3 linked regions of the Anolis sagrei genome follow. The protein of the gene in region 3 interacts with the protein of the main gene of each other region in a pairwise test. Links are inferred from orthologs where the notes say so. Each region holds a gene or a part of one and is shown on either strand. Other genes may lie near its edges.

The links.
Region 1: the proteins of OSGIN1 (region 3) and BCAR3 interact in binary tests that used the Homo sapiens proteins (3 or more experiments, as listed by UniProt). The link is inferred for Anolis sagrei from reciprocal best matches to the Homo sapiens genes OSGIN1 and BCAR3.
Region 2: the proteins of OSGIN1 (region 3) and CAPN3 interact in binary tests that used the Homo sapiens proteins (3 or more experiments, as listed by UniProt). The two-hybrid records come from large-scale screens. The link is inferred for Anolis sagrei from reciprocal best matches to the Homo sapiens genes OSGIN1 and CAPN3.

Annotation. Positions count from the first base shown.
Region 1 is NC_090024.1:146,120,171-146,128,079, reverse strand, and holds the start of BCAR3 (breast cancer anti-estrogen resistance protein 3), read left to right. Parts: upstream 1-4,801; 5' UTR 4,802-4,826; coding exon 4,827-4,916; intron 4,917-7,909. UniProt on the Homo sapiens protein: Acts as an adapter protein downstream of several growth factor receptors to promote cell proliferation, migration, and redistribution of actin fibers.
Region 2 is NC_090021.1:287,044,797-287,053,234, reverse strand, and holds the start of CAPN3 (calpain-3), read left to right. Parts: upstream 1-5,045; 5' UTR 5,046-5,338; coding exon 5,339-5,629; intron 5,630-6,873; exon of another isoform or gene 6,874-7,246; intron 7,247-8,438. UniProt on the Homo sapiens protein: Calcium-regulated non-lysosomal thiol-protease. Proteolytically cleaves CTBP1 at 'His-409'. Mediates, with UTP25, the proteasome-independent degradation of p53/TP53.
Region 3 is NC_090028.1:8,518,954-8,526,522, reverse strand, and holds the start of OSGIN1 (oxidative stress-induced growth inhibitor 1), read left to right. Parts: upstream 1-4,185; 5' UTR 4,186-4,314; intron 4,315-7,569. UniProt on the Homo sapiens protein: Monooxygenase catalytic activity. Involved in regulation of cytokinesis; promotes RHOA activity, probably acting locally at the midbody in late cytokinesis.

The sequences.
Region 1 (7,909 bases), on a different chromosome or scaffold from region 3:
ACAGTTGTCTGCAGCATGGTTTACAAATGACACTTGATTAAACTCTATGGATATAGATATTAAAATGTATAGGTTAAAACATTTTCCACTAAAATAATCTGCAATCTGACTCTTTAATTTTATTGTTAATAGCCATTATTAGAGTGATCCATGATTCCCTATCCTCTGTTAGATATTTTAACAAACATATTGACAAACATGTCCCATTATCCAGATGAGTAGTAGTGTACTAAGAGTTAAACATTCCACTCTGATCATGTAGGGTATTAATTTTTTCTGCTCCAACCTTAATATTAATGGGCATTGATTATTAAAATATAGGTAAATGTAAAGGCTTTCCACTGACATATAGTCTAGTCGTGTCCAACTCTGGAAGTTGGTTCTCATCTCCATTTCTAAGATGAAGAGTCGGCATTGTCCGTAGACACCTCCAAGGTCATGTGGCCAGCATGGAGTGCTGTTCCCACTGATGTCTGAAAGGAAACTTTTATAGGCTTCTCAAAGGCATACTGTGATCTAAATATGGAGACTGAGTTCTGAACATGCCCAGTTCTGATCACATGGTCTGCAGCCCCTTCAACAACAGTGAGGTTAAAGAAAACTACAAACTAATACATACAGTAAGAAATTATATAGATAACAAGTAACTAGTGGAGGCTTGAGCAGGTTGTAATTTTCAGCAAAATAGGGAGAAAAAATGCAGGGTTTTGCAGCGATTCCAAAAATATAAACATAGCCAGTTTAAACGTGCTTATTTAAACAAATTACTAATTCCCTTTTTACAGTCAACAATTATAATAACCACTAAAAAGGTAAGGTAAAGGTTTTCCCCTGACATGAAGTCCAGTCGTGTCTGACTCTGGGGGTTGGTGCTCATCTCCATTTCTAAGCCGAAGAGCCGGCGTTGTCCGTAGACACCTCCAAGATCATGTGGCCGGCATGACTGTATGGAGCGCCGTTACCTTCCCACCGGAGTGGTACCTATTGATCTACTCACTTTTGCATGTTTTCCAACTGCTAGGTTGGCAGAAGCTGGGGCTAATAGCGGGAGCTCATGCTGCTCCCCGGATTCAAAATGTGATCTTTTGATCAGCAAGTTCAGCAGCTCAGTGGTTTAAACCACTGCACCACCGGCGGCTCCTAAATATATTAAAATATATTTGTATGCAATAGATCAGATTTAAAATGTTGTTGAATAAGCATAATCACTTTGAGACAAAGGTCTTAAGTATTTCCAAAATGTTTCTAACGAGGTTTTTTTCTAGCTTGAGGGATACTTTAACTTTTCCATTAATAAAGCAAGCGTCCATACACTTGGAGTAATTTTGAGCCTGCATTATGTCATGCTTTCCTTAAGGTTCCTCCATCCTCAAAAACTGCTTAAGATGTATAACCTCAGCAGTATGGGATGTAACCATGAGCAGAAGCTCTCATTTTGACACGTTGCTGACCACATGACATCAGCCTGTGGGCAAATGTGTGTGAAAAATATTCAGCACGTAGGCAGGTTAGAACAAGCATTTTTTTGTTGCTGAGACATCAGAATGTCTTTGGCATCTATGTGCAGCAGGCAGAAATCCTCTTGTTTATGCAGTGCACAAAAGAACAACATCTTTAGACACACAGCATAGGAAAATGCAGATTCTTCACAGGAATCACATTTTGCCATGCATTATGTATGAGCAGTGAGTGTGCCAATAATTATACATCATCTGTGTGTAGACAGTGTAATGATAACTTTTAGTCACTAGATGGCACTGATTTTACTAGCTAGCAGGGGTCAAGAGTTTCCTTTGGACCTTATCATACTCAAAGTGGAAAATGCTTTTCCTGTAGGCAACCATGGCTTTTGAGGACTTGGTACATACAAGCCAGATCACACTTCCCTGTATCTATTAAAATAATGTGCTTTGTCTAATAACATGGCAGATGGATAACTCCTAGGCTTGGCTGATAAAAAAAAAATGGTTCAAAACTCGTTTTTGGATGTAGGGGGTGCTGGTGGTTCGATTCTAAAGTCAATTCCAATTTTCACAGAATTTTTTTTTCAAAACTTTTCGAAACTTCCGAGACTTCCGAATCCTTTTGTTAATAGTTTGAAAGTGTTATTTCCTGTTTCCTTGGGTGGTCTTTACTTTGAAAATAGTTGTTTTACTCCAGAAGCAGGGAAAAGCAAGTGGAGGAATTTCCACTTGAGTTGAGGCCAGGAAATGTCTTCCTTCTGTGGTTTAAAACTGGCTTCTCTGGCTTGAGCTGAGGCCAGGGACCAGAAGCGGGGAAAAGCAAGCGGAGGAAATTCTTTCCTTCTCTGGTTCAAAACTGGCTTGAGTTGAGGCCAGGAAATTCCTTCCTTCTCTGATTTAAAACTGGCTTCTCTGGCTTGAGCTGAGGCCAGGGACCAGAAGCGGGGAAAAGCAAGCGGAGGAAATTCTTTCCTTCTCTGGTTCAAAACTGGCTTGAGTTGAGGCCAGGAAATTCCTTCCTTCTCTGATTTAAAACTGGCTTCTCTGGCTTGAGCCAAGGCCAGGAAATTCCTTCCTTCTCCAGTTTAAAACTGGCTTCTCTGGCTTGATATGAGGCCAGGGACCAGAAGCGGGGAGTCATATCAAAATGATGAGAAAAGCTTTGGAAGGGCAAAGGGACTTCTGGTTTTTAAAAAAGGTAATTTTAATGAAATTATTATGAGCAATGAGTTATCCAAGCAACTCTATCCATGCTTTATAACTCCTCCTAATCTTTCCAATGTTCCCCTACATGGATCGGGACTCCCTTCTCCAAGTGGGGTAGCCATTATCTCCCTGGTTTCCCTTAAAATCTCATATGTAAAAAAGGTCATGAGTCAGGGAACCTTCAGAAGCTCTGCCCAACGTCACTGCTTTTCTTTTTTGAAAAAAAAAGTAACCTCCAACTCAACAGGGAAACAGAAAAACATCTTCTTACTAGCAGTTTGAAAGCATGCAATGCGAGTAGATCAAAAGGTACTTCTGTGGGAAGATAAAAAGGCCGCCCCATGCAGACATGCCAGCAAAAAGATCAGAGATGTCTGAGGACAACAGGCTCCTTCGGCATGGAAAATGGAAATACAGCATCTCCCCATGGCCGGAAGTTGAGCATTACCTCCAGGTGGCGGAGATAGAGAAGGGGGAAGATCTTTATCTTATCTGTGTATTATATGTTGTTGTTCATGTAAAAAGGCATTGAATGTTTGCCTAATATGTGTTCTTTAATCCGCTCAGAGTCCCTCCAGATAAAACGTAATATAAGATGTACTATTATTATTATTATTATTATTATTATCTTTTTGTTCCTATGGAGCTGCACAGTTCTGACATTTAAACAAAATAATCATAATAATAATAATAATAATGGAAAATAATAATGTGAAAGTATAAAACACAAGTGGCTTTACTCAGGTTCTTTCTCTGGCTGCAAGTGGAAGTGTACTGGTGGTCACATCAACAAAAATGGAGTGGTAGGAAAGCACGGCACCCAAACATGCTCCGATGGACACATGACATTGGCACAGCTGACAAAATGCATATGGGAGTAAGGTCACACCTAGAAAGCCATGCCTCTGATGTGCATTAAGGAAAAGCTACAGGTGAAGACTATTTGGAATGCGTATTTCATAAATTGCTGGCCACATATCCTTTGCATATTGATATGAAGTGGGTAGTCCATTGTGTGATCATTTCCATAGGGACTGGTGTGTAAAGGGTGTTATTTCCCTGTGTGATAAGGTACTTTGTTGAACAGAGACAATATACAGTTAGACCTTTCACTTTGGCAGGTGTTAGGGGCACAGGGCTCTGCAAAACTGAAAAAAAAAACATGCATTTTAATAAATCCGAGAGAACATCTCTGTAGGCATATCTAGGTCCTCCATCATGGCTCTATGGTCAACTTCTTCCAGAGGTTGACCATTGAACTGTGCTGGAGGACTTACAAATTTCCTAGAAAAATGTTGATCATAGAATTGTCCTAAAGAATTTAGAGATTCCTAGAAAGAATGTATTAATCAAATTCGCAGCTAATCAAATCTGCAAAAGCTAAGCCTGCAAATATATAGTTTTTGTCCAGCTGCTTGATGAGTGTGCTTTTCCCCCTTCCATGACAGTCCAACCAATTCTATGTGTATTAATGGATTGCTCTCTTATTCTCTCCATTTTGCACAATTGTTTTGTCAATGCTTTCTTATACATCTCTTTGTTGGCAAATGTGTAACTGGCACACTGGTTTTGGATTTCTATATTTCACATGAAATAAAGAGAGCGTTGTTACATCTGTCTGCCTGTTGCTTCTTTTCTATGAAAAGTTTCTTATGCTAAGACCCATTAAGGCAGTGGTTCTCAATCTGTGGGTCCCCAGGTGTTTTGGCCCATAACTCCCAGAAATCAGAGCCATTTTACTAGCTGTTAGGATTTCTGAGAGTTGAAGGCCAAAACATCTGGGGACCCACAGGTTGAGAACCACTGCATTAAGGCATTTTTGGGAACAACCTAGGTTTCTATCTATTCCATATCTGCAATAGGCGCAAAATGGTGTTTAAATCTACATTCATGTTGACTTTGTCATACTACAAAAATCTTTGCCATCCAAACCCTGAGCCCTTTCAACTCTAATATTTTTTCCCAGCATCACCCACTCTAATCCAGATAAAAGAACAGTCTGCAAAATACAACTTCAAGAAAATGTTCCAACTTTTGCAGTGTCATAGCTATCAACTAACTCTTAAGATTCTCATAACTTGAAATAAACATGGATTTTCTCTTTCTTTGCAGAAATAAAAGAATCTTGCCCTCTTGCAAAGACACAACTAGAGGATTATGAAGCACATCTCCATTTCTAGCTGGTTGTCTCAGCTGGGGCTCCCAGAGTATGGGGCTCTTTTTGATCAACAGTATGATGGGGTAGAGGTAAGAAATCAGATTTTGATGAGAAAATTGCTCAATTCATTTCAAGCCACAGCAGTTAAAGCATCTCTAACCACTCTTTAGGATACTAATATTCAAAATGTGTTCTAGGAAACTTTGGTGTATTAAATAACCTGCTTCAGAAAGGCCTAAAATTCACAAATAATATGTATACGAGCCCGAACAATGTTTCCCATTTTCGAAAAGCAAATCCAGGTGTATGTTTGCGAGTAAGGGAGTACTTAATCTTTCTGGTGGTGTTCAGATCTTCTCGCTTCCAGCGTAACCCAAAGAGTTTCACCCTGCATTAGATTGCAGAATTTTCACCCAATTTGAATGCTTGAGGGGAGACTTGTGTTCACTCGGACATGAGAATATGTTGTGGTTAAATATCTCTTTTCAGTAACATGAATGTCTCTGCTTGTAGCTGGATTTTGTTTTAAAATCTCTCTAATCACATTTATATAACCTCCAGTAGTTTACAGATGAAAACATGGACACGTATGACCAAACAGCATTAGAACATGTTCAAATTGGTAAAAGTAATTAACGGGAAGGAACACATCAATTCGAATATGCTGGAACTGTACAAGTTTGCCTTAGCTGAGTAGGAAGGATGAGATTCCACCCTCTCTGCCCAATTCTGAATTAATTGACTGCAATATACTTTTTTTCACTTCAAACTTGGTTTGCCACCACTAGAGCAGTGGTTCCCAACCTGTGGTCCATGGACCACCAGTGATCCGCAAGAACTAAAATATGATCCGCGCCCTCACTGTTACTACACTGTTACAACAAGAATCATAGAAGAGACCTCATGGGCTATCCAGTCCAACCCCCTGCCAAAAAGCAGGAAAATTGCAACAGGTCTCCCGAAACCCTCTTATAGTGCTGAAGCAATGGGGATGTCAGGAGGGGTGAGGCTAACTACCCATGAAAGGCACGACAACAAGCCTCTTGACTGCTGCTTCCCCTGCTTCTCCCTCCCCCTGAGCAGAGCCGTTCCATTTTGCACCTTGGTGTTCTTGTTTTTAGGCCTGTTCCTGGGGTTATTTGTTTCAGAAAATTCCATTAGATAGACCACATCAGCTCTAGATTATTATTTTATGGTTTTCTGTGGGCAAGCAGGTGGTGACTACTGGATGGTATATGTTCTGTATCAGAAACTAGAGCTGATGTGGTCTATCCAATGCAGTTTTCTGAATCAGCACCCAAAATAACCAAACTGAATCTAAAGTTGACCAAAAACTGATTCGTAATCCTTTTGGTACTAATGTTGGAGAGTGGTCCCTGTTCAAAGTGGTCCCTGTTTAAGTAGTCCCTAGTCAAGTGATCCCTGGTCAAAAAAAGGTTGAAAACGACTGCACTAGAATAAGCTAAAGAAGAAGGAGGAGAAAGAAATTGAGATGTTTTAAAATCAGCTGGGAAAGTGTGGTGACAGAGGAATAATCATGACTGTCCCCAGCATATCAGGACAGTTTAATTGTGTGTATATGCAAGAAATATGACATCCTCTCAGGTATTTATTTAGCTACTTAATTTTGCAGGTGCTGTTTATTCGTTGCTGCCCAATAAACTAGAAAAAGTAGCCAAAAACAATTGCTGGATTGTCTGATTTGTTTGATGAGAGGGGGGCAAAACAAAGTGGGGAAGGTGCCTAATGGTACGCTCTGGTTTCTTTAGCCATTATTGTTACAGTCCTCATTAGGCTGACTTTTTGGAGGAGAGGGAATTTCTACTCCATAAAGATGATTCTGTTTGCAAAATGTGGGATTCTTCCAAGCTTACTGACACTTTCTCTTTTATTTGGCAATTTTGACCATGGAGAACTAATACCTCTGAAATTTGGAAACAGAGGAAATGATGTGTGCAACTTTCAGAAACATAGACATCACATCTAATCACTTTTACTTAAAGCCATGCTCGTTGGAGACTTACAATAGTAAGGCTACATGCACAAATAGTTCGTTCTTAAATTACTTCAAGTCAACTTAAACTTACAGTAACCTCAAAAGCTGCCCTGCTCAGGTCTTGCAAGCGCAAGGCTGCGGCTTCCTGGGTTGAATCAATCTGCTTATAGGGCAGTCTCCCTCTTTTCCCACAGCTTTCCATTTTTTCAAGCATTATCGTATTCTCCAGTGAGTCATGCTGTCTCATTATCTCTATCCAAAGTACAGCAACCTCAATCTCACTATTTTATCTGAAGCAATATTTCACTTCACAGGATCAATGAGCTGGAAGAAGCCACAAGGGCCATTCGACCCAAGCCCTGGCCATGCAGGAAAACCTAATCACAGTACTCCCAAATAGGTAATCTGTTTGTAGTGATGCTTCATGTGGCATAATGTAAAGTAAACCACATGTAGTTCACGTTTGATCAGCCCACACTTCTTTGCCAGAGAAAGAAAGCATGCCATGCAGATGAACAATAAAGAACAAGTAGTTTACTTTTTGTAATTCAAAACAACATATTTACAATCATGTGATCAGTTACATCGACTTACATAATATCCCATTGACTTGGCCACAGTAGTCCATGCTCTGGTTACATCCCATATAGACTACTGTAACGTGCTCTACGTGGGGTTGCCTTCGAAGACTGTTCGGAAGCTGCAAATGGTCCAACGAGCAGCAGCCAGGTTGCTAACAGGAGTGGTGCTCAGGGAGCACACAACTCCTCTGTTGCGCCAGCTCCACTGGCTGCCAGTTTACTTCCAGGCACAATTCAAAGTGCTGGCCTATAAAGCCCTACACGGTTTCAGTCCGACTTACCTATCCAAACATATCTCTCCTTATGAAACATCTAGGACATTAAAATCTTCTGGGGAGGCCCTGCTCCCGCTCCTGCCTTCTTCGCAAATGTGTCTGGCGGGGACGAGAGACAGAGCCTTCTCAGTGGTGGCCCCTCAACTGTGGAACGCCCTGCCCAGAAATATAAGAGCAAGCCTTCCCAAATACAGCATAGCTAAACGGAATTATGGTACTACTTGATAACG
Region 2 (8,438 bases), on a different chromosome or scaffold from region 3:
AGAACAAATTGCTGCCCTTGTGTTTTTGAAGCTGCTGAATGTAAACTGATCTACCCAAGCCTGCTTACCAAGGAATGTTAGGGACCTCTCCCACCTATTCCGTGGAACTATTTTGGGGCTGTGCATAGGCATGGTCCAGAGGACATATGATGTCACCACTGTAGTGAAGCTGAGCTGATTAGAGCCTTGTAGAAGCCTGCATGAGAGATGGCCAAGGACCCCGTGTACACAGGCAGGATAGAAATGTACCAAATAACTCATTCACAAATATGTATTCTGCATTATTGTGTACATATGTAGGATCTTACTTATTGGTAAGTCTGATTTTTAAAAAATAAAGGGTTTAGCTCTTGTGCATGGGAACAAGAGGTGATTTTGATGGCTGAAGATGCAAACTCTGAAATGCAATCTTCTGTATGTCTGAACATATCAGATTTTATTCCCAGGTGTGAGAGTATAAAAGGAGATGGAATCATGTGTCAGACCAGGTCTTGCCAAACATCTCCAAACAGCCTTAGCCAACATATCCAATGGTCAAAATTGCTGGATGATGCCATTCAACAACCTCTGGAGGGCTGCACAGACCTTCATCCCAGAGTATACGATTGCAGCCTAGTGGGGAGTAATGGGAATAGATCCAATCTTTCCATCTTAATTTACAAGTATTTATATAGAATTAGAGTAGATGCTAGCTGTTTAAATCAGTGATCACAACCAAAGGGGTTGTGATGGCACACCCAAGCCTTTGGGAAAAACTACAATGTCTGGCTTTATTCGGGGGGTATCTGATACCTTCTGTTAAGATTAAGACCCTTAGCAGACAGAGGCACTTTAGGTAAGGTAAAAAGATAACCAAAATGAGTTTACTGAAAACAAGATGAATAAAGGGTTAACTCCACCCAGGATAGTTATCCTATATCCGGGATATAGAATAACTTGAAACAATACATTACAAAAGGAGATTTTGCTGGTTGCAGTCATCTCTCTGGAATTTTGAAGGTTTCTTGCCTCTGGTGCAAAGCGATGGTTATAAACTGTCTCAATCTTCTTCCTTCTGAAGCTTAAGCTGGTCAAAAGCTTCTGTTGTCTCTTGGACTGGTGGTATATGGATACTGTTGAATGCAGGTGCTAAGGATGTCTGTTTTTTGGATTGCTTAGGCCTAGGATTACCAGATAATTCCTAAGCCTCTATTCTCTGTAGCTCTGTTGCCAAAAAAAAAGGAGTCCAACAAAAGAGCTCTATGCAGGCAAATGGAATAGACCAACTAGTGCTGGCCTTTAGGAGGTTTTTTATGCTCCATCCAAAAAACGAATACAAAGAAAGGTATCTACACTATTGGGAAAACCTAAACAGGAGGAACTAAAGCAGAGGAGAGGAAAAGACAGAGCCAAGACTTCACAGAGGACCAACAGCCAAAAACATCCCTGGCCCGATCTGGAATTTTACACTCCAGATCGGCCATAGGATAAAGAATTTGTGTAGATGTGTCCTGAATCTTCTGGTACAAAATCTGTTTGTATCGGGCTGCCATGATCACACAAGGGCAAGGTCATAAGGCCACAGTGAGCAATGCCACAATATTTCATAGAATAATGTGGACAAGGATGTCATAACAGAGCTCCATCTGTATTGGTTTAAAATAGTTTTTACAACTGACTTGTCATGGAAAAAGCTCTCTATAGGCGACCAATGTTTGAATGTGCATAATGGCTAGTAACATGGTCCTTGCTTAGAACTGCATATTGTTTCAGTAGAGCAATGAATTGGGGCGGGGGGGGGGGTGGCTTCAGAAGATTGCAGAATTCTATCATTGCTGGTGTTTTCATACTGCAGTAACCCGAATCCCTAGAGCAGTCACATAGTTATGAGCGAACCACCATTGAGTGGCTTCTTAGATTTCCTCTTACATAGTTGCCAGAACATAGCTCATGAGTCTCTCCAAATAATTCAATTACAGTAATTACTCCATCAATATATAGGCAAAGTGGATGTAAAAAAACAAATGCGGATGAAAAAAATTAGAAAATAAAGCATTTACAATATTATCTAATTTTTCTTTCCTTATAAATTCAAGGATGTGTATGTTTGAGAGAAGAGGCGTACCTTTTGACAAGACTAGTGAACTCTGGAAGAGAAATGTAAACAGCATGTCAGCCTGACTTTAGACAGCTGCTTTCAGGAGATTTTGGAGAACAGATGGTTATACATGTCAAAGAATCTTAAGTAATGGGGGAAAGGCATGTCAGTTGTTTTAACAACGGCCTAAGAAAACAATGAGATCAATGAGTTAGCACACATGTTATGGCAAAGCCAGGAGACCTCAAAACATTTTGCAGTTGGTTTATTGCAAATTAACTCATAGATACCAAAATTAATACAGTGTTCCCTCACTTATCACGGGGGTTATGTTCCAGGACCACCCGCGATAAGTGAAAATCCACAAAGTAGGGACGCTTACAGTATGTACAGTATATGTACATACATGTACAGTATGTCCCCTGCCCGCCCGCCCTCCCTCTGGAAGATGGACCCTCTCTCAATCAATCTCTCTCTCTCAGAGTATGTCCTATTGAATTCTGTGCAGCTAAGTTCTGCAACAACATGTATAGGGTTAACTACGAATTAATGCTATACATATTAATGATTTTATGTCACAAATAAAAAAAAGTAGTTTTCTCCCTGTGTTTATCATCTCCATTTATTATTTAATTGGTCCTTAAAATGTACTGATACTGCAACAGATTATGACCCCAATATTTCTGTGAAATATCTCCTCAAAATAATAAAAATACAGCCAGCTCTCCACAGTCACTGGGATTAGGGAAACAGGACCCCCACAACATTGGAAAAACCATGAATAAAAAACCACTACTGTGCATTATGTGAGAAAAAACCTTTCTGGAAATTTCTACATTCTTCAGCACAACCCTATGGTCAAGTTAAACCATAGAATCACCCCAGAGAATCTTAAGATTCTAGAGAAGTATTCTCTCTAGGAATCTCGTAAGTTCTCAAATATGATTCTGTGCTCAATTTCCAGCAGATTTGACCATAAAGTCACACTGGAAGACTTAGAGATCCTAGAGAGAATATTTTAATCAAATCCACAAAAGTCAAGCCCACAGATGTGGAGGGCTGACTACTACTGTTCATTTTAGTTCTCACAAAAATCTGATGAAAGCAACGGCTTGAATATAAAGAAAGACAATATTTTACACCTTTTGTGTTAACCATGGTCCTAAATTTGTATGAGAGGACAGGAATATGCAATCTTGGTTCTCCCATTCTCAAGCATTCTAATCATGTTATGTTATTCATTACAATCTAAAGAGCTTGTAACTGCACAACTGCATTAAGACTGACATATTTTGCTGCTTTCCTGAAGAAAAAGAGACCTCCAGAAAAACATGATGGGGGTACGTTGGTATCCATCTATAGTAAATGGGCTCTTTTGAATACTCTGTGGGACATCACTTGTCTTGTAGGCAATGACATTGTCCAGAAGGGGATCCGTTATTTTAGATCTGATCCTAACCAACAGTGATAACCTGATAAATTGGTTCCTTATGTGGGAAGTTCCTTATGTGGGAGTGATCATGTTCTCCTGGAGTTTGTTGCATAGTGGAAAGGAGAAGTGAAGTGTAGTCAGTTTCTAGATTTCAAGAAAGCTGATTTCAGTAAATACAGGGAAATAGTGTGATCGCATGGTCAGCTCTGAACACATCCATTGTGCTCGGCTACTGGTTTTTGGTTGTTGATGGTTTATGTTTTTACGATGTTTTGTACGGTTTTTGTTTTAATTTATTGTAATGCAATGTATTTTACTGTGACTGGTCCCCATGTAAGATGGCCCGAGTCTCTTTGGGGAGATGATGGCGGGATATAAGAATAAAGTTATTATGGTCAAGAACACTAAAAGAGAAGGGTGTTCATGATGGATGGGAGTTTCTTAAAAGTGAGGTATTGGAGGCACAGATTGAATCCTTTTGAATCACGAGGAAAAACTGGAGACGTCTAAAGAATTCAGAATGGCTGTCATTAAAGATTTTTCAAGTGAGATAAGATTTAAGGGATGTGTACAAGACATAGAAAAGGAAAGAAACACTAAAGAGGAATTCCAACAAATAGTCAACATGTGAAGGGATAAAATAAAAAAGCTATAGTGCACAATGAACTCAGATTTGCTAGAAAGACTAAAACTAATAAAAAGGGTTAGATTTTGTTACTGTTATTATGCCCTTAGTGAAAGGAAGAACAAGGAAATGGTAGGGCCCACTGCATGGAGATAATGGTGAAATGTTTACAGGAGACAGAAAAGTGTAGAACTACGCAATGTCTTCTTTCCCTCAGTATTTTCTCACAAAGAAAATGGTGCTCAACCTGGGAAAGTGGGTCAGATGATGTGGTAGGGGGAATGCAACATTGAATAGGTAAATGTGCATTATAGGACTACCTGGCTACTCTAAATGATCAAAATCTCTAAGACAGTGGTTCTCAACCTGTGGGTCCCCAGATGTTTTGGCCTTCAACTCCCAGAAATCCTAACAGCTGGCAAACACTGGGATTTCTGGGAGTTGTAGGCCAAAACACCTGGGGACCCACAGGTTGAGAACCAATGCTCTACAACCAGACGAACTGTTTCCAAAAATGTTTAAAGTACTGCAACAATCCTGGAAATGCTGTTTGATATGAGTCTAAAATGGCCCTAGAAAAATTGAATCCTTTGAAATTACTACATATTTTGGGTCACTTTACAATGACTCCTACTTCTTTATTACAGACTTTTAAAATTTGAATCTTGTGGATTTGTTTATGAAAAAAATAAGTTTTCTACAGTATGTGCGCCAAGTTCTTAACCATTGAAGAACTGCATGAGAAGGTAGATTTTTTTTAAAAAAATGAAAAAGTGATTTTAGCCTGCCTAGCCCTTTCAGACATTCTGAAAGGATGAGCTCTGTTTCTTCCTCCCCTCCTCCACATGAACACTCTCCCTAAGAGTTTATTTTTAGTTTCCTGATCTGCAACCTTTCCAAAGCATGCCATAGGCACGTTCGCACACACAAATCTGGAGGGGAACGTTACTCAACAATTTCTCTTGCTTCCTGCTAAGATGCTGGTATTGATACCAAGGGAGAACCTCAAGATGACATGTAGACCAACCTACGGGATGGTTCTTCACATTGCTGTCTAAATATTCGCAGACAAACAAGGAGTGAAAGAGAACTGTGAACTCGTTGACAGAGCAACTTCCTCTTTCCTGTCCTTTTCCGGATTGCAAGATCTTCCTTATTTTTGTTATCATTCTTTAATTTATAAATTTATTCACAACCAATCTCCATGCCGTCGGCTGTCAGTACCAAGATGGTAAAAGGGTCTGGGGCTGGACCCATTGCCTGCCAGAATGCTAGCACAACAGCAGAAACAGGTGGAGGCGCAGGAGGGATCTACTCTGCCATCCTCAGCCGCAACCAACCCATCATCGGTGCCAAGGAGAAGACTTTTCACGAGCTCCATAAGAAATGTCTCGAAAAGAAAATTCTTTATGAAGATCCAGATTTTCCAGCAAATGACTCCTCCCTTTTCTATAGCCAGAAGCTCCCTGTCAAATTTGAGTGGAAGAGGCCACCAGTGAGTAGACCCTTTGTCTGATGTAAAGACTGAACTTGTTGAATGTCTGCTTATACCAGCAAGATTCCATTCTAAATACAAAAGTATAGATATGAAAAAAACAATGTCTTGAAAGCAGCAAGGTTTTAAGGAATAAGGTTTGCTTTATCTCCCAAGATTTGGCTGGTGTATTTTAGCTGACAGTGGTTTTATCTCATTTCAATCCCAAATTTAAAACCTGTTTTGAGTGACAGCCAGAACAGTCCTATTCCCCAATAGGAGGTTAACTATTTTCTCTAATTTTTAACACTTACTTTAAAATCAGCATTTTACTTTTACATGCATATTCATTCATATATGCATGCATACATATATGTGATGCTTCTGTTTCACCATAAGCTGCACCTTAGTAAATTGCTTCCTCTTTTTGTTTTTTTTCTTGCTGGTAATTGTAATCAATTATGAGGTGTGAATTAATTAATCATGCAGTTGTTGATGATGTTGTTAAAACCATTCACCTTTGCAAAAAGCCAGTAATGCAATATTAGCATGGCGTTGCTGCACCAAGGTTTTCGAATTCCGTGGCCCCAAAAATGTATAAACAAAGATAGGAAACTTGCCTTCTTGTAAAATATACAATTTTCTATAACATCACTTGTCTTAACCTAGCAACATTGTCTTTCCCTCCTCATCTAGGTACCCTTTACTCCAAAAAAGTTGTTCTCTAAGGGCCCTTCCAGGCAGGCCCTATATCCCAGGATCTGGTTCCAGGTTTTCTGTTTATCCCAGATTATCTGGCAGTGTGGACTCATATAATCCAGTTTAACGCAGAAAAGCTGGGATCATTCTGGGATATAGGGCCTGTCCGGAAGGGCCCTAAGATACTCCTCTGTAAGGAAAGGAATTGATTGCAACTTTCCCTTCTACTGGCAACTACTATTCCTAATGTTTGATTGGTTTATCCCCTCCTCTCTGGCTGTTTCATCAGGGGCAACAGTAGAGGGGCAAGCAAATGACAGAGAGAGGTTGGTTAGATTAAAACTTGGACCAGGTTGTAATTGACACAGTAAAGCCTTCACTAGCCAGTTTTCTCCTATCAACTCTAGGTTTTGAGATACAGAACATATGTCATATACCAATCTTCACTTGCTTGCTTATAGAAGCATTATAACCATATCTAAGAGCTGATACAGTCTATTCAATGCATTTTTCTGAATTTTCTGAATAACCCCATAGACAGGCATAAAGACCAAGACAACAATGAATAAAATGTTTTGTTGATCTGTGTTTCCATTTTAGAAGAGCATTAAACAAGATAAGAGAGGCTGCATCAGTTTGTTTACTCTTTTGATAGACCAGGGCAGTGCAACCACTTCATTTCAGTAGGTCTTTTGTTAATGTCCTCCCATGCTATTTTCACAAACAGGTTTGTGAACTGTGGACTGTACAGTATGGCTGTGAGGTGGATTTGTAATTTGTTGATAGACCAAACAAAATGTCCACATCAATGGTTGCTCTTCATCTCGAAGAGAAGTGCTTAGTGTCATAACCCAGAGTTGTATCCTGGTTCCAGTGTTGTTCGGCATCAATGACTTTCATAAAATGTATTGCAAGAGGGATAAATATCAGGTTCTACATCTAGGAAAGAAAAAGGAAATGACAAATATAGGATGGGTGACACTTGGCTTGAAAGGAGTACAAGTGAAACAGATATAGGAGTTTTAGCAGACCATAAGCAAAACTCAAGCCAACAATTCTAGATAGATTCAACAAGAGTATCGTGTCAGATCAAAAATATAATTGGTAGTACTAGTTTATTCTGTTTTCATCAAATTTCACCTGTACTACTGTGTCCACTTCAAGAGGGATACGGATTAAACATCTCCAGAGAAGGACAACTCAGATGATAAAAAAATAAGTAAACCAAGTTATATAATGGACTTAGGCAGTTGAGTCTGTTAAGTGTGGAGAAGACTGAGGGATGATAGGATATACATATTTAAATGTCTGAAGTAGTATCATGTAAAAATAGAGAAAGCTTATTTTCTGTTACTCCAGAGGCCAATTGATTCAAATCAGAAGAAAATAAAGTCTACCTAAACATTAGATAGAATAATAATAATAATAATAATAATACTTTATTTGTATCCAGCCCCATCTCTGGGGATTCGGAGCAGCTTACAACAAAATAACAATGCAAACTATAAACAAGCATTATTAAGAAATACAACAAAATTAACTGAAATCAACAAAAATAGTGACACAAAATAATATGAAATAAGCAACATGTTAAATTGACTTAGATAACCATAATTCATAACTAAAAGTAATCAGTGGTTATTTCATATAACTCAAAACATTCCAGTCACTGGTCTGGTCAAAAGAACAAAAATCCAATTAAAACTTAGTTCCATTTAAATTCTTCAACCACTGGATGTTGTGTCAAAGGCCTGTTTTAAAAGCCAGGTTTTCAACTCATTCTGAAAAGTTGAAAGTGCGGAACCTTACCTAATCTCCCTGGGGAGGGTGTTCCAGAGTTAGGGGCACAATTGCGAAGGCCCTCTTCCTTGTCCCCACCAACCGTGCTTGTGATGGCGGTGGGACCGTGAGAAGGGCCTCCCAGACAGATATTTATACTTAAACAGGTTCATAGGGAGAGATGTGGTCATGTAAATAGGCTGGACCTGAACCGTGTAGGGCTTTGTATTGGGGCTGGAAACATATAGGCAGCCAGTGGAGCTGCTTTAGTAGGCAGTGGTATGTTCCCTATAATTAGGTCCAGTCAACAACCTGGCTCTTTGTATTAGTTGCTGTTTCCGAGCCATCTTTA
Region 3 (7,569 bases):
GCGTGCTTGCTCCATCCATGTTCAACATCTACACAAATGACCAGCCACTGCCAGACGGGACAGAGAGTTTCATCTATGCTGATGATCGTGCCATTATCACTCAAGCAGGGAGCCTTGAGATAGTTGAATAGGAGCTCTCCGAAGCTCTAGGTGCTCTTACTGCCTATTACAGGGAAAACCAGATGATCCCCAACCCATCTAAAACACAGACATGTGCCTTTCACCTTAAGAACAGACAAGCATCCCAAGCTCTGAGGATTACCTGGGAAGGAATCCCACTGGAGCATTGCAGTGCACCCAAATACCTGGGAGTCACTCTGGACTACACTCTGACCTACATGAAGCACTGCCTGAATATCAAGCAAAAAGTGGGTGCTAGAAACAATATCATACGAAAGCTGACTGGCACAACCTGGGGATCACAACCAGACACAGTGAAGACATCTGCCCTTGCGCTATGCTACTCTGCTGCTATGCATGCCCAGTGTGGAACACATCTCACCACGCTAAAACAGTGGATGTGGCTCTTAATGAGACATGCTGCATTATCACGGGGTGTCTGTGCCCTACACCACTGGAGAAATTACACTGTTTAGCTGGTATTGCATCACCTGACATCCGCCGGGAAGTAGCATCCAATAGTGAAAGGACCAAGGCAGAGGACATCTCCAGCTCATCCCTTGTTTGGGTATCAGCCAGCACGTCAACGACTTAAATCTAGCAATAGTTTTCTAAGATCTACAGAGACACTCGCTGGAACACCCCAGCAAGCGAGAGTCCAAAAGTGGCAGGCTCAAACCCAGAGCCTCAATCAATGGCTGATACCAAATGAGAGACTCCCTTCTGGGCACACAGGAAACTGGGTGACTTGGAAGGCGCCGAACAGACTGCACTCTGGCATCACGAGATGCAGAGCCAACCTTAAGAAATGGGGCCACAAAGTGGAATCCACGGCATGCGAGTGTAGAGAAGAGCAAACCACTGACCGCCTGCTGCAATGCAACCTGAGCCCTGCCACATGCACTATGGAGGACATTCTTGTGGCAACACCAGAGGCACTCCAAGTGGCCAGTTACTGGTCAACGGACATTTAATCAACTACCAAGTTTGCAAACTTTGTGGTTTTTTTTATCTGTTTGTTTGTTTTGTTCTGTTAGAAATGTAATACAATGGTCTGGTTGCCCCTGACACGATAAATAAATAAAATAAAAATTCCCAGGATTCCATAGCATTGAACCATTGCACTTAAAGTGGCGTCAAACCGTATTAATTCCACAGTGTAGATGCCCTTTGGGTGACCTTGGGCAAGTCGCCCCTTTAAAGACACACAACCACAAAGTTCACTGAGGTGTGGTTGTTATTACTAAGGGCTTAAGGAAACCCATCCTTAGTCTTTGTATATAAGTGGGAAATAATACTGTCACCACTGAAATAATACTGTAAAAGCTGAAATGTGAGAACCGAACTGTCAGATTAGTCTCTCTTGAGGTTTAAGGGCTCAACTCTTAATATCTCCAAGAGGTGTAACCATATTGGAGCAGAAATCACAAAGTATTTAGTGGTGCCTTTCAGATTAGCAAGTTTTCTTTGGCACCCCCTTTTGTGAACTCCAGGTCCCTCACATTGGATTAAATGGGTGACAGTTCATCAGGAAGGTGCAACGAAATGCTCTTTGAATTCTTCGAACTTCTTTTGTGTTCATTTGTGTTTGTACTGCTTTTGTGGCTTTTGTTTTTCTTGAACCCTGGCCCAATCGAACTTGAAAGCAATGCCGTTTGAGTGACAGCTTCATTGCCAGGGTTCAATGCTATGGGGTCCTGGGAGTTGAAGTTTCCCAAGGTCTTTAACATTCTGCCAAAGAGTGCCGGTGCTTCACGAAACTAAAATTCATAGGATCCCATAACATTCAGCCATGGCAGTCAAAGTGGTGTCAAACTGCATTAATTCTACAGTGTAGATGCACCCATAAATATATTAAGTATTTATTTGTTTATAATATAACAATATTAATAATAATAATGGGAATTCATAGCAGTTAACCCCTTTAACCGTGATTACTCTATTCTATGGATTCCTAGGATTTGTTGTTTGCTGCACCACTTTATGTATTTATTTATTATTTGCTTTCCTGCAATCTTTACTTGCATTGTATTTAATTTCCTGCATTCTTTGCTTGCATTTATTTCTATTATTATTACTACTACTACTACTATTATTTGCTTTCCTGTATTTTTCGCTTGCATTATATTTAATTTCCTGCATTCTTTCCTTACATTTATTTCTATTATCATTATTATCATCATTATTATTATTTAATTTCCTGCATTCTTTGCTTGCATTGTATTTAATTTTTTGCATTCTTTTCTTGCATTTATCTATATCATCGTCATCATTATTTACTTTCCTGCATTCTTTGCTTGCATTTATTTCTTCTTCTTATTATTATTTGCTTTGTTTGCATTATATTTAATTTTCTGCATTATTTTACTTGCATTTATTTCTGTTATTATTATTATTATTAGTAGTATTATTATTCCTGTATTCTTTGCTTGCAATTATTATTATTATTATTATTATTATTATTATTATTAGCTTTCCTTTATTCTTTGCTTGCATTGCATTTACGGTAATTATTTCCTTACATTTATATTATTGTTCATTCGTTCAGTCGTCTCCGACTCTTCGTGACCTCATGGACCAGTCCACGCCAGAGCTCCCTGTCGGCCATCACCACCCCCAGCTCCTTCAAGGTCAGTCCAGTCGATTCAAGGATGCCATCCATCCATCTTGCCCTTGGTCAGCCCCTCTTCCTTTTGCCTTCCACTTTCCCCAGCATAATTGTCTTCTCTAGGCTTTCCTGTCTCCTCATGATGTGGCCAAAGGACTTCAACTTTGTCTCTCGTCTCCTTCCCTCCAGTGAGCAGTCGGGCTTTCTTTCCTGGAGGATGGACTGGTTGGATCTTCTCGCAGTCCAAGGCACTCTCAGCACTTTCCTCCAACACCACAGCTCGAAAGCATCTCTCTTCCTTCGCTCAGCCTTCCCTAAGGTCCAGCTCTCACATCCGTAGGTGACTACAGGGAATACCATGGCTTTGACTAGGCAATGGATCTTTGTTGCCAGTGTGATGTCTCTGCTCTTTACTATTTGGACATGGCTCTCCTCCCAAGAAGGAAGCGTATTCTGATTTCCTGGCCACAGTCTGCATCTGCAGTCATCTTTGCGCCTAGAAATACAAAGTCTGTCACGGCCTCCACGTTTTCTCCCTCTATTTCCCAGTTGTCAATCATTCTTGTTGCCATAATCTTGGTTTTTTTGACGTTTAGCTGCAACCCGGCTTTTGCGCTTTCTTCTTTCACCTTGATTAGAAGGCTCCTCAGCTCCTCCTCGCTTTCGGCCATCAGAGTGGTGTCATCTGCATATCTGAGGTTGTTGATGTTTCTTCCAGCCATTTTCACCCCAGCTTTGCATTCCTCAAGCCCCGCACATCCTCGCATGATGTGTTCTGCATACAAGTTTATATTATTATTTTGTTATTATTAATAATAATTTTCCTGCATTCTTTGCTTGCATTGCATATAATTATTTCCTTACATTTATTTCTATTATTATTATTATTATTATTATTATTATGAATTTTCCTGCATTCTTTGCTTGCATTTATTATATGTATTATTCGCTTTCCCGTATTCTTTGCTTGCATTGCATTTAATTATTTCCTTACATTTATTTCTATTATTATTATTATTATTAATTTTCCTGCATTCTTTGCTTGCATTTATTATATTTATTGTTAGATTTCCTGTATTCCTTGCTTGCATTGCATTTAATTATTTCCTTACATTTATTTCTATTATTATTATTATTATGCCTTTTTTCCTCTGGATTAACTTGAACTCTATTAATTATTATTATTATTATTATTATTATTATTATTATTATCTTAGGACCCATAAGGCACCTGATGTCCCTTGTGTGTGGGATGCATTGAAAGGCTGCCTTGTTTGCCTCCTCCTCCTCTATACCAAACCTTGCCAAAAAGAGAGATAAAAAAAAAATTCACTCCCTCTGAGGCTCCATTCACAAAAATGTTGCTGCTGCTGATTCATGCTGATGAGAGCTTTCCCCAGCCCAGCCCCGCCCCTCCACCCCCAAGCCACGCCCCCTTTAAGCCACGCCCCCTCTGCTCTGCCACTGTCATATATTTCAGAGCCTGCCTTTCAGGGAAGCAGAAACTTCTCTTGATCTCTTCCAGGCAAAAGGCACTTGCAATCCCAGGAAATATCTGCTGGAAATCTACTTTCCTGACCTCAAAGGTAAGGCTGCATTGATGCTGCAAAGCTCTTATTGCTCAGATGCACTTTTTTGCTGCTTTTAAAAATACTTTTCATATATATATATTTAGTGTCATCAGATCCCAAGGACTTTCTGTAACCGGTGCCAGGGAAGTCCTTTTCCTTGGCAAGGGATCAGGAGAAGGCTCTTGTTACATAAATGGAAAATCTGTGCGCGTTGAAAGCCGCTGTGTTTTAAAAAGCCGGCACGATTAGCAAAGAATCATAGAAACATAAGGTTGGAAGGGACCCCAAGAGGATATCTAGTCCAACCCCAGAGAGCAACCATACCATTAAAAGGTGTTCCTATGCTGCTTACATTTCTTAGGATGCACCTGTTGAATGAAAGTTTCGAAAAGTTCCTTTTTGGGTGAATTATAGTCTCTGGAATTGCCCAGTTTGGTTACTGGATTGCTTGGCAGTTACAGGTGTGTCTACACTTCACAATTAATGCAGTTTGACAGCACTTTAACTCCATGCTATGGAATCCTGGGAGTTGTAATTTGGTGAGGTACCAGTCCTTTTTGGTAACAGTAGTACTTATTATTATTACATTATTATTATTATTATTATTATTATATGCATTAATTATTATTATTACATTATTATTATTATTATTATATAATATAATAATAATAATAATAATAATAATAATAATAATGGAACCCCACTGATGATGCATATAATAAATAATAATAATAATAATATAATAATAATAATTATTATTATTATATGCATCATCAGTGGGGTTCCGTGCTCTCTGTCTGTAGGGTAAACTACAACTCCCACTTGGCATGTCAGGTATGTGTGCCAAGTTTGGTCCAGATCCATCAGTGTTTGGGTTCACAGTGCTCTCTGGATGTAGGCAAACTACAACTCCCACTATGTTGAGTCAGTCCCCTCAAATCCCTCCAGTAGGTTGAGTTAGTCATGGGAATTCTGTGTGCCAAGTTTGGTCTAGGTCTTATCATCTAAGAGATCACTATTTCTCTGGTTGTGGGTGAACTACAACTCCCAGAAAGGAAGGTCAGTTCCCCCCAAGCCCCTCCAATAATCACATTTCAGCATGTCAGGTATGTCTGCCAAGTTTGGTCCAGATCCATCGGTGTTTGGGTTCACAGTGCTCTCTGGATGTAGGTGAACTACAACTCCCACTATGTTGAGCCAGTCTCCTCAAACCCCTCCAGTAGGTTGAGTTAGTCATGGGAATTCTATGTGCCAAGTTTGGTCCAGGTCCATCATCTGTGGAGATCACCATTTCTCTGGTTGTGGGTGAACTACAACTCCCAGAAAGGAAGGTCAGTTCCCCCCAAACCTCTCCAATAATCACATTTTGACATGGTATGTGTGCCAAGTTTGGTCTGGATCCATCGGTGTTTGGGTTTACAGTGATCTCTGGCTGTAGGGTAAACTACAACTCCCACTATGTTGAGTCAATCCCCTCAAATCCCTCTAGTACGTTGAGTTAGTCACGGGGGGCGGGGGTTCTGTGTGCCAAGTTTGGTCCAGGTCCATCATCTAGGAGATCACCACTTCTCTGGTTGTGGTGAACTACAACTCTCAGAAAGGAAGGTCAGTTCCCCCCAAACCCCTCCAGTAATCGGATTTTGGTATGTCAGGTATGTGTGCCAAGTTTGGTCTGGATCCATCGGTGTTTGCGTTCACAGTGCTCTCTGGATGTAGGTGAACTACAACTCCCACTGTGGTGAGTCTGCCCCCTCAAACCCCTCCAGTAGGTTGAGTTAGTCATGGGAATTCTGTGTGCCAAGTTTGGTCCAGGTCCATCATCTAGGAGATCACCATTTCTCTGGTTGTGGGTGAACTACAACTCCCAGAAAGGAAGGTCAGTTCCCCCCAAACCCCTCCAATAATCAAATTTCGGCATGTCAGGTAAGTGTGCCAAGTTTGGTCCAGATCCATCAGTGTTTGGGTTCACAGTGCTCTCTGGATGTGGGTGAACTACAACTCCCACTATGTTGAGTAAGTCCCCTCAAACCCCTCCAGTAGGTTGAGTTAGTCATGGGAATTCTATGGGCCAAGTTTGGTCCAGGTCCATCATCTGTGGAGATCACCATTTCTCTGGTTGTGGGTGAACTACAACTCCCAGAAAGGAAGGTCAGTTCCCCCCAAACCCCTCCAATAATCAAATTTTGGCATGTCAGGTATGTAGGCCAAGTTAGGTCCAGATCCATCAGTGTTTGGGTTCACAGTGCTCTCTGGATGTAGGTGAACTACAACTCCCACTATGGTGAGTCAGTCCCCTCAAAGCCCTCCAGTAGGTTGAGTTAGTTATGGGAATTCTATGTGCCAAGTTTGGTCCAGGTCCATCATCTGTGGAGATCACCATTTCTCTGGTTGTGGGTGAACTACAACTCCCAGAAAGGAAGGTCAGTTCCCCCCAAACCTCTCCAGTAATCAAATTTTGGCATGTCAGGTATGTGTGCCAAGTTTGGTCCAGATCTACCATCTGTGGAGATCATAATTTCTCTTGTTGTGGGTGAACTACAACTCCCAGAAAGAATGGTCAGTCGTCCCCCCCCCCCCCCAACCCCTCCAATAATCAAATTTTGGCATGTCAGGTATGTGTGCCAAGTTTGGTCTGGTTCCATCGGTGTTTGGGTTCACAGTGCTCTCTGGATGTAGGTGAACTACAACTCCCACTATGTTGAGTCAGTCTCCTCAAACCCCTCCAGTAGGCTAAGTTAGTCATGGGAGTTAGTCATGCTCTCTGGCTGTAGGGTAAACTACAACTCCCACTATATTGAGTCAGTCCCCTCAAACCCCTCCAGTAGGTTCAGTTGGTCGTGGGGATTCTATGTGCCAAGTTTGGTCCACTTCCATCATCAGTGGAGATCAGCATTTCTCTGCTTGTGGGTGAACTACAACTCCCAGAAAGGAAGGTCAGTTCCCCCCAAACCCCTCCAATAATCAAATTTCAGCATGTCAGGTATGTGTGCCAAGTTTGGTCCAGATCCATCATCTGTGGAGATCACCATTTCTCTGTTTGTGGGTGAACTACAACTCCCAGAAAGGAAGGTCAGTTCCCCCCAAACCCCTCCAGTAATCAAATATTGGTGTGTGTGCCAAGCTAGGTCCAGATCTATCAGCATTTGGGATCACAGTGCTCTCTGGATGTAGGTGAACTACAACTCCCTCTACTTTCCCTAAACTTTTCTGGTGGATTGTCAATATGGGGACTCTCTTCCAACTCTCTATGAGAAATCCTAGATTTGAGCT